Linked DNA regions of Elephas maximus indicus. The protein of the gene in region 1 purifies or fractionates together with the protein of each later gene. This does not show direct contact. Links are inferred from orthologs where the notes say so. Each region holds a gene or a part of one and is shown on either strand. Other genes may lie near its edges.

The links. Proteins that work in one complex are often made in the same cells at the same time.
Region 2: the proteins of CANX (region 1) and TAP1 purify together in Homo sapiens (affinity purification with mass spectrometry; 3 studies listed by BioGRID and IntAct, with this or other methods). This does not show direct contact. The link is inferred for Elephas maximus indicus from reciprocal best matches to the Homo sapiens genes CANX and TAP1.

Annotation. Positions count from the first base shown.
Region 1 is NC_064820.1:201,847,122-201,850,866, forward strand, and holds the start of CANX (calnexin), read left to right. Parts: upstream 1-1,325; 5' UTR 1,326-1,502; intron 1,503-3,745. UniProt on the Homo sapiens protein: Calcium-binding protein that interacts with newly synthesized monoglucosylated glycoproteins in the endoplasmic reticulum. It may act in assisting protein assembly and/or in the retention within the ER of unassembled protein subunits.
Region 2 is NC_064819.1:95,538,587-95,542,331, reverse strand, and holds the start of TAP1 (antigen peptide transporter 1), read left to right. Parts: upstream 1-842; 5' UTR 843-1,166; coding exon 1,167-1,764; intron 1,765-2,226; coding exon 2,227-2,341; intron 2,342-2,505; coding exon 2,506-2,636; intron 2,637-3,415; coding exon 3,416-3,621; intron 3,622-3,745. Other genes in the region: PSMB9 (proteasome subunit beta type-9), read right to left, coding at 495-554. UniProt on the Homo sapiens protein: ABC transporter associated with antigen processing. In complex with TAP2 mediates unidirectional translocation of peptide antigens from cytosol to endoplasmic reticulum (ER) for loading onto MHC class I (MHCI) molecules.

The sequences.
Region 1 (3,745 bases):
ACATTGCCTGTTTTCCTGTCTTCGCATATGCTGTTTCCTCATCTAAAGAAGCTTTTCTCCCACTCTATACCTTTAGAAACTCTGCATATCATACCAGGTCCAGCTCCAGTCTTCCTCTTCCCTGTCCATCCTAGATGGATGCACTTTCTCCGTAATCAAATCCCATTAAATTCACTTTAGTACCACCATCTTTTCTTTTCTTTTCTTTTTAGCACTTACCTTTGCTGAAGTAGCGCCTATGCTCATATAAGTGGTTCCTCTACATTATAAACTATGTTTGGATTATGTGACATCCAGGACATTACTTTGCCCTTAACACAAAATCCTCTTTCGCAAATTTGGTGGCTGAGAGTTGAATACTAAAATTTATGCAAACACCAAGCCCTGACTTCTCTCTTCCCTTTTCAGGTGACAGGAGGGAATATAGCTGGCTTCCAGGATACGTGATACACCCGCTATTTCTAGCTCTTCCACGCTAGGATTCAGCCTTTGGGTGAGCAACAATCGGTGGAGAGACCGGAACCTCTCAAAGTCTAGAAAAACCTCCGAGCTGCTTCCATCTTCTGAGGTTCTCGGCACATTTAAAATTGAAGATGTGCTAAAAGCCGGTTACAAAAATTGTGTATTTTAAATGTTTCCATTGCAACACTCTTTTCTCTCAAGCATGTCGTCAGTGTATCGCTTGCCCTTATGTCAGAAAACATGACAAATTGAAAGTTTGATATAACCTTGGATTATACATATTATCCTGAATTGCATTTTGTGTTAGGCAATGAGCCAGCCGCAGTATCCAGGGCTCAGAGCAATGACTCTGCAGGAACCGGGGCCAGTTAGAAAGGGCTGTGTGTGCAGTCGACTTAGGCCGGGCCAAGGCGTCCGTGCCGGGTTCTGGCTGCGCACGGTCGGGGCCCTACGCTCGCTGCGTAGGGGCTGGCCCTTCCTGATGGCCGACAGGACCACCCACTCTTTCTGCCGGCTGCTCGGGTGCCCACACCACAGTGATTCGGCTTAAGCACCCGTCAGCGTGCCCACTAACACGGCCGGGTAACTGGGCGGGACAACGCCGGCCCGCCGATCCCGCCCCAGGACTCGCGCGCTTTCGGTTGCCGATAACGTCGGGGCCGGCCCCCTCACCTCCCACCCAACCAGCAGCCACTTCCTGCCTTACTTCCAGCCAGTCCCCACACTCCACGAAGAATAGCCCTAGGGGGCGTATGGGAAGAGGCATAGAGGGACGGCCACACTGACCAACCGAGTTTCGAAGCTTGCGCAGTGGGGCGGGATTTGCCTTCGTTCGCAGCCACTCAAGAACGAGGGGCGGACGCAGGGCCGGGCTTCGTGCGGTGGGGCTCGCTCGGCGGCAGCAGCGGTGGCCGAGGCCTCTTCGTTTTGCCGCACGTGACGGTCGGGCAGCCGCCGCCGCTGTCTCCACTGCAGCGTGGGGTCAGGTGTGCGGGCGGGAGGAGGCGCGGGAGCCGCCGGCGGTCCCCAAGAGGCTCTAGGTGAGAAGGGAGGTTTGTGCGCACCCCCGGGCCCGTGGGGACCCCAGGTGGCCCATGATCGCTGCGCCGCGGCCGAGGGGCCGGGCGTGGTCAGGGCCGAGGGGTTGAGCTGGGTTTCAAGGGCCCGGGTCCCGGCACATACGTTGGCCGTGAGCAGCGAGGCCTGGACGTGGGCCGCTTCATTTGGGCAGCCAGACCCAGGCCCCTCCGCGGGGGTCGGGAGGCGTGGCAGGTGCCCTAGGTCCTCTCTTGACCTTTGGGAAAGCTAAATTCTTCGTATGGCTCTGCTTCTAGGGCTTTCTTAGGCCTCTTCCTGGCTACCTGGAAAGCCGCGAGGTGGACTGGAGTAACCGGGTAAAGTCTGAAGCGGGATCGGGCCTAGTCAGTACCCTTAGCAATAAAAAATAGAGAATATTTACTATTGGCGTTACCGGTTCAGGATATTTGAAAATAAGACCTTAAAGCAAAGACTAGACGCTGGAACCCCGAAGAGTAAGTGGAAAGTACTAGAACATGCGTTGGTTGAAAAAGTTTGCAGCAGCTATTTGGGGATGGGAAGTAATCCATTCGGAGATTCACAGGACATTAAAAGCAGGAAAGGACCTGAAAACTCCGAGTGCAGCTTGTTTTTCGGTGGAGGAAACTGAGGCCCAGAACACGAAATGACCGGCCCAAGGTCATACGATTAGTCTGATGATCAGGTTGGGATTAGAGGGCTACGCAGTCTCCTTGTAGTGGTTAAATATAGGGCTCTGCTTCAAGTCCTTCCTGGACTATTTGCTAGTTACGTGAACTTGGACAGTTTATTTAGCTTTTTTTGTGTCCCAGTTCTCAAAAAATAATATAATAACTGATGGAGTTTTGGAGGAGCACTGGTGGTGCAGTGGTTAAGAGCTTGGCTGCTAACCAAAAGGTTGGCAGTTCAAACTCAGGAGCTGCTCTGTGGGAGAAAGATGTGGCAGTCTGCTTCCCTAAAGATTTGCAGTCTTGAAAACCTTATGGGGCAGTTTTACTCTGTCCTACAGGGTTGCTCTGAGTCGGAATCAACTGGAAGGCAGGGAATGGGGTCGTGTGATGGAGTTTTGAGGATTAAATTAAGATGTATATAAAATAGGACAAGAGTCTGAAAGTTGTTGGTTTACTACACTGACATCCTAGTCTTTGAGTTGGCTAAGTCCTGTTTCTTAGGATCTGAAGTCACCTTTATGGCATGGGGGGGAAGAAATTGGACCTTGTGAATTAACTGCTGGGCATGACACAAGTGAGTGTTGGTTGAGGGAAGTTAAACTGAGCTGAATATTAAAAGCTTGGGAGGGCAAAGGTGAACCACAGTTAAACTTATTTAGGGAGTGGAAGATTTTCCTTAATTTTTTAATAAGTAGATTTTAAGTGGAATCATTGTATTGATCTTTAAATAATTCTGCATCTCAGTTTTCCTACAGCCATGTTTGAGGGCCATCTTTTACATCTGGTATAGTTATATTAAGAGTAGAGGTAAAGAGCTGTGAGAGTTCTCCTTTGCACAAGATAACAAGCCAGGTAACTGGATTATGAGAAGGCAAGAGTGAGCTTTGTATTGGAGTGAATGTCACATAACAAACAGATTTTCTAAACTCCGAAAATGGGAGTCATTGTCCCTCCCCCACCCTACTATCACAATGCAGCAGTTCAACTATCACGTTTTCTTACAAGGACCACAAGGAGTAAACATTTTGACAGAAGTCATTGCTGCAGCTTTGACGATCAAACTGTTGAACCTTTAAGTTAGGGTTCACTTTGCCCTGCAAGATAGCTTGAGAGGGTGAAATGACAGTTGGTAAGCATAATTTCTGGGCCCAGCTCTGTAACTAGCTTATTTACTATCTTGGTTTACACATCTTTGAAATGGGAATGAGCTGTTTCCTCAGATACCTTACCATTACGGGGCTATTGAAAGGGACAGATGCAGATGATGAGCATAAAACCACTTTGAAGAGTTATAGAATTAGACAAACAGAAGAATTGGTGGTCATAGTAACTCTAGAAAGTAATAAAAACGCCTAAACATAGTTGTAAACTATATATAGTTTACTGTCGAACTTTGTCAGAAAAATGCTGGTTGAATACTTTGCTAGTGCAACAGATGTACTTTTAAATTAAGATTACCTCTGAGCTGTGAAAATTATTAGGAGAATTCTGTTTTTTAAAGAAATTAGAGAATCTTCAGCAGTATGTTTCAAGTATTCACATCTTAAAGCTACACA
Region 2 (3,745 bases), on another chromosome or scaffold:
TCACACGGAGCCCCCATTATCGGTGCTCGGGCTATGAGTTAACTCCGGGGCAAGTATACCAAAGGTCTGTGTGATGAGTTGACCCTTCTCAATCAGTGCCCGTATTCCCCTCTCCCAAAATGTTGTCCAACTTCACTCAGGACACCATTTCCTCATGTCTTTGCACCGTCCCACCCGCTCTCTTGATTTAATCAGCCCCCTATCTAGATGGTAAGAGTGAAAGCGAAAGCGCCTTAGAGCAGCTTCCCCTTGACGCTTCCAGCTAAGAGCCGAAGCAGCCCCCCTTCACAAGCCCCGTCCCTTCGAGCCCCCCCCCAGGTGACCTCCTACGGAGTAGAGACACCCTATGTTCTTTGCGGGGTGCAAGCACTGCTGCAACAAGCCATTTCCCCACACTCATATTAGTCTTCACGTTCGCTTCTCGGCGCTTTCAGGGTCTCCTGCCGATCTACCTCCTTCGTCCCTCTGCTAGCCCTCAAGCCCAGAATCATTACCCCGGTGTGGACTTCTCCGGCTCCGGGGACGTCCCCGGCTGGTGCTCCCGCGCGCAGCATCCCGGCCTGGTGTCGCGCTCTGAGCTGCCTGGGGCGGCGGTTCCTGACCGCGGGCAGTGTGCGGCGCGTTGCCCACAGCCCCGCCCCTTCCTTATGCCCGCCAGGGGGCGCCGGTGTCCTCCCGGGGAGTCTTGGCGTGGGATGCTAACCTGTGCGGGGCAGATTTGCCCGGAGACAGGTGACGAAAGAGCCGAGCTCGGAAGCGAGGGTGGGAAAGTCAGGGCCAGGGGATCCCGTGGGACAAGTCGGGAGGGGAAGGAACGGACTGCCTGAAGACGCAGCACTAGGGCTACGCCCCAGAGCCCCAGAATTGATTTCAGCGCCAGCTCCTGAAATCGTCTGGGCGGGCCGCGTTTGGAAGTGGGCGGACCGAGCGAGCCCGCGGCCGCTTTCGATTTCTCTTTCCGCTAAGCGGCTGCTCTTCTGGCCCGCGCTCCCAGGCTCAGCCGGCTCCCCGGGCCTTCCGGGAGCCCCGCCCCGGCGCGTCCCTACTCCCTCCTCCAGGCCGCAGCCCCAGCGCCGACTCGCTCGCAGACTCGGACAGAGCCGGACCCAGCGGGGACATCGGAGAACCCAGGCCGGGACGGCACGCAGGACAGGGCCTGCGCGCCAATGGCCACCTCGGGGCCCCCTGCTCCTGGAGGGTGCCTCCGCCTCCCCCGAGCTTGCTGCGCGTGGCTGGGGGCGACGCTGCTGCTTCTCGGGGACTGGGTGCTGCTCCGGCGAGCGCTGCCCGGCATAGTCTCCTTGCTGGTGCCCGTGGTGCCGCCGCTGCTCCGGGTCTGGGCGGTGGGTTTGGGCCGCTGGGCAGTGCTGTGGCTTGGGGCCCGCGGGGTCCTCAGGGCCACGGTCGACTCCAAGAGCGAAAGCGTACGAGGCCAGGGCTGGCTGGCTGTTTTGGAGCCACTGGCGGCAGCGTTGGGCTTGGCCCTGCCGGGACTTGCCTCGTTTCGAGAACTGAGATCGTGGGGCGTCCCCAGGAACATTGAGAGCACCAAACTGCTTCACTGGGCAGGTCGCCCCGACGCCTTCGTCCTCAGCTACGCCGCGGCGCTGCCCGCAGCCATTCTGTGGCACAAATTCGAGAGCTTATGGGTGCTCGGCGGACAGGGGGGCTCTGGAGAGGTGGTGACTCGACTACTACGCTGCATAGGCCCTGAGATACGCCGTTACCCTCTCGTTTTGGGCCTGTTGATCTTTTCCTGTCTCGGTAAGGGGGAAGAGGGTAGGACATAGGGGACTGAACAGGAAATCAAGGGTAATGGTCAGTGAGGCAGGGTAGTGTCCGTTCCGGGAAATGTGGATGAGGCGGAAGGCGACCCAGCCTGGGTCTTGGGGAGACCACTCCGGTGTAGAGGAAAGAGCACTGGGCAGGGTGGGAGAGAGGAGTCATGGACTGCAGTCCTGCCGCAGGCATTAATTCGCTGGGCCACGCCGAGCAGCATTCTCATCTCTAACATGAGGCTTCCTGTTTAAACCGCTGAAAGGTCTTGGGTTGTGAGTTGCAGGGCCTCCTATTCAGGTGTGGAATTCTGGCCCCAGTGTCTTCTTTCTGCCCCTGCCCTCAAGGATAATGGTGAGGGTGGAAGAGGACGTGATGGGGGGCAGTCTGATTGGAGGTGATATGTTTAGACTTAATATTTGTGACTGACCGAGTTCTCTTTCAACCCAGGGGAGATGGCCATACCATTCTTCACCGGCCGCCTTGCTGACTGGATTCTGCAAGATGGGGCAGCTCCTGGCTTCACCAGAAACATAACTTTCATGTCCCTTCTCACCATAGCCAGGTCTGGGGGCTGAGGATGGAAGGCTGAGACTGGTGCACTCTAGAGAAATAAGGAAGTGGAATTGGAGCTGTGCTCCAAAGTTCACTTCTGTGTGGATACCTGCGACCTTTTCTCTCCATCCTCCAGCACTCATCCTGGCCCTTTTTTTCCGTTTCTCTCTCTAGTGCAGTGCTGGAATTCCTGGGTGACGGGCTCTATAACAGTACCATGGGCCGCATGCACAGCCGCCTGCAGGGAGACGTATTTCAGGCTGTCCTCCGCCAAGAGACAGAGTTTTTCCAACAGAACCAAACAGGTTTGTCACAAAACTCTTTCATTACAGATCCATATACTTTTTATATCCCCATACATCCTTTACTTATAATATTGATATCTCTGTCTCTTGTTTTTACACACACATTGTTGTTCTTGGTATACCTCTAGTCTGAACACAAATTATTCTTTTTACCTTCCGTAAAACATAGTTTTTCCATTCAGGATTTTTCCATAAATCTATCCCTGTATATCATTAAATAAAAACCATGGAATTTCAAACCTGGAAATTTTGTGATCATGGAGTCCTAATGCCTAATTTTCCAGAGAAGGAAACTGAGGTCTAGGCCCAAAATGCTGAAAATTGCATGTCACCTAATGGATTGAGAGAAGCTTGGGGGAAGAACCCCAGTCTTTTGATTCCTAGTACATTGCTGGTTACAGGGGCACCATCTGTTCTTCTCCACCTCCATTATACAACCAGCTTAAACTCTTTCTGCCTATGTGTATATCATAAAATCATGGGACATACAAATTCTTTAAGGAACAGAAATCTTTTACAGAAAGAAAAATTTACATGGGCATCAAATTCCTCATAGTTAAAATGATGGTCTTTAGCTAGATTTCTCAGCTCTAATACTTATTTCTCCCTGCAGTGAGATTCCCAAATGTCCCCATACTCCCATATGATCTGTTTGCCCCAGCCTCCTTAAAACACCATGTTGACACCCGTACTCCTGGCACCCTGGATTGTTATTAGTCCCTCTCATCACTTGGAACCCTTCTTATTCATACCACACTTTTCTCCCCAATCTCTGGCAGGTGCCATCACATCTCGGGTAACAGATGACACATCCACCCTGAGTGATTCTCTGAGTGAGAAGCTGAACCTGTTGATGTGGTACCTGGTACGGGGGCTGTGTCTCTTGGGGCTCATGCTCTGGGAGTCAGTGTCCCTCACCATGGTCACCCTGGTCAACCTGCCTCTGCTCTTCCTTCTGCCTGAGAAGCTGGGAAAATGGCACCAGGTATGTTCAGGAAGTTGGCTTAACCAACATGGACGCTTTGTCTCCCAGATTTGGAAGACTCAGTTTCTGTCAGATGTCTTTCTGTACAACCTTCTTGGTACCCTCACTGATTCTCCATCTTCAT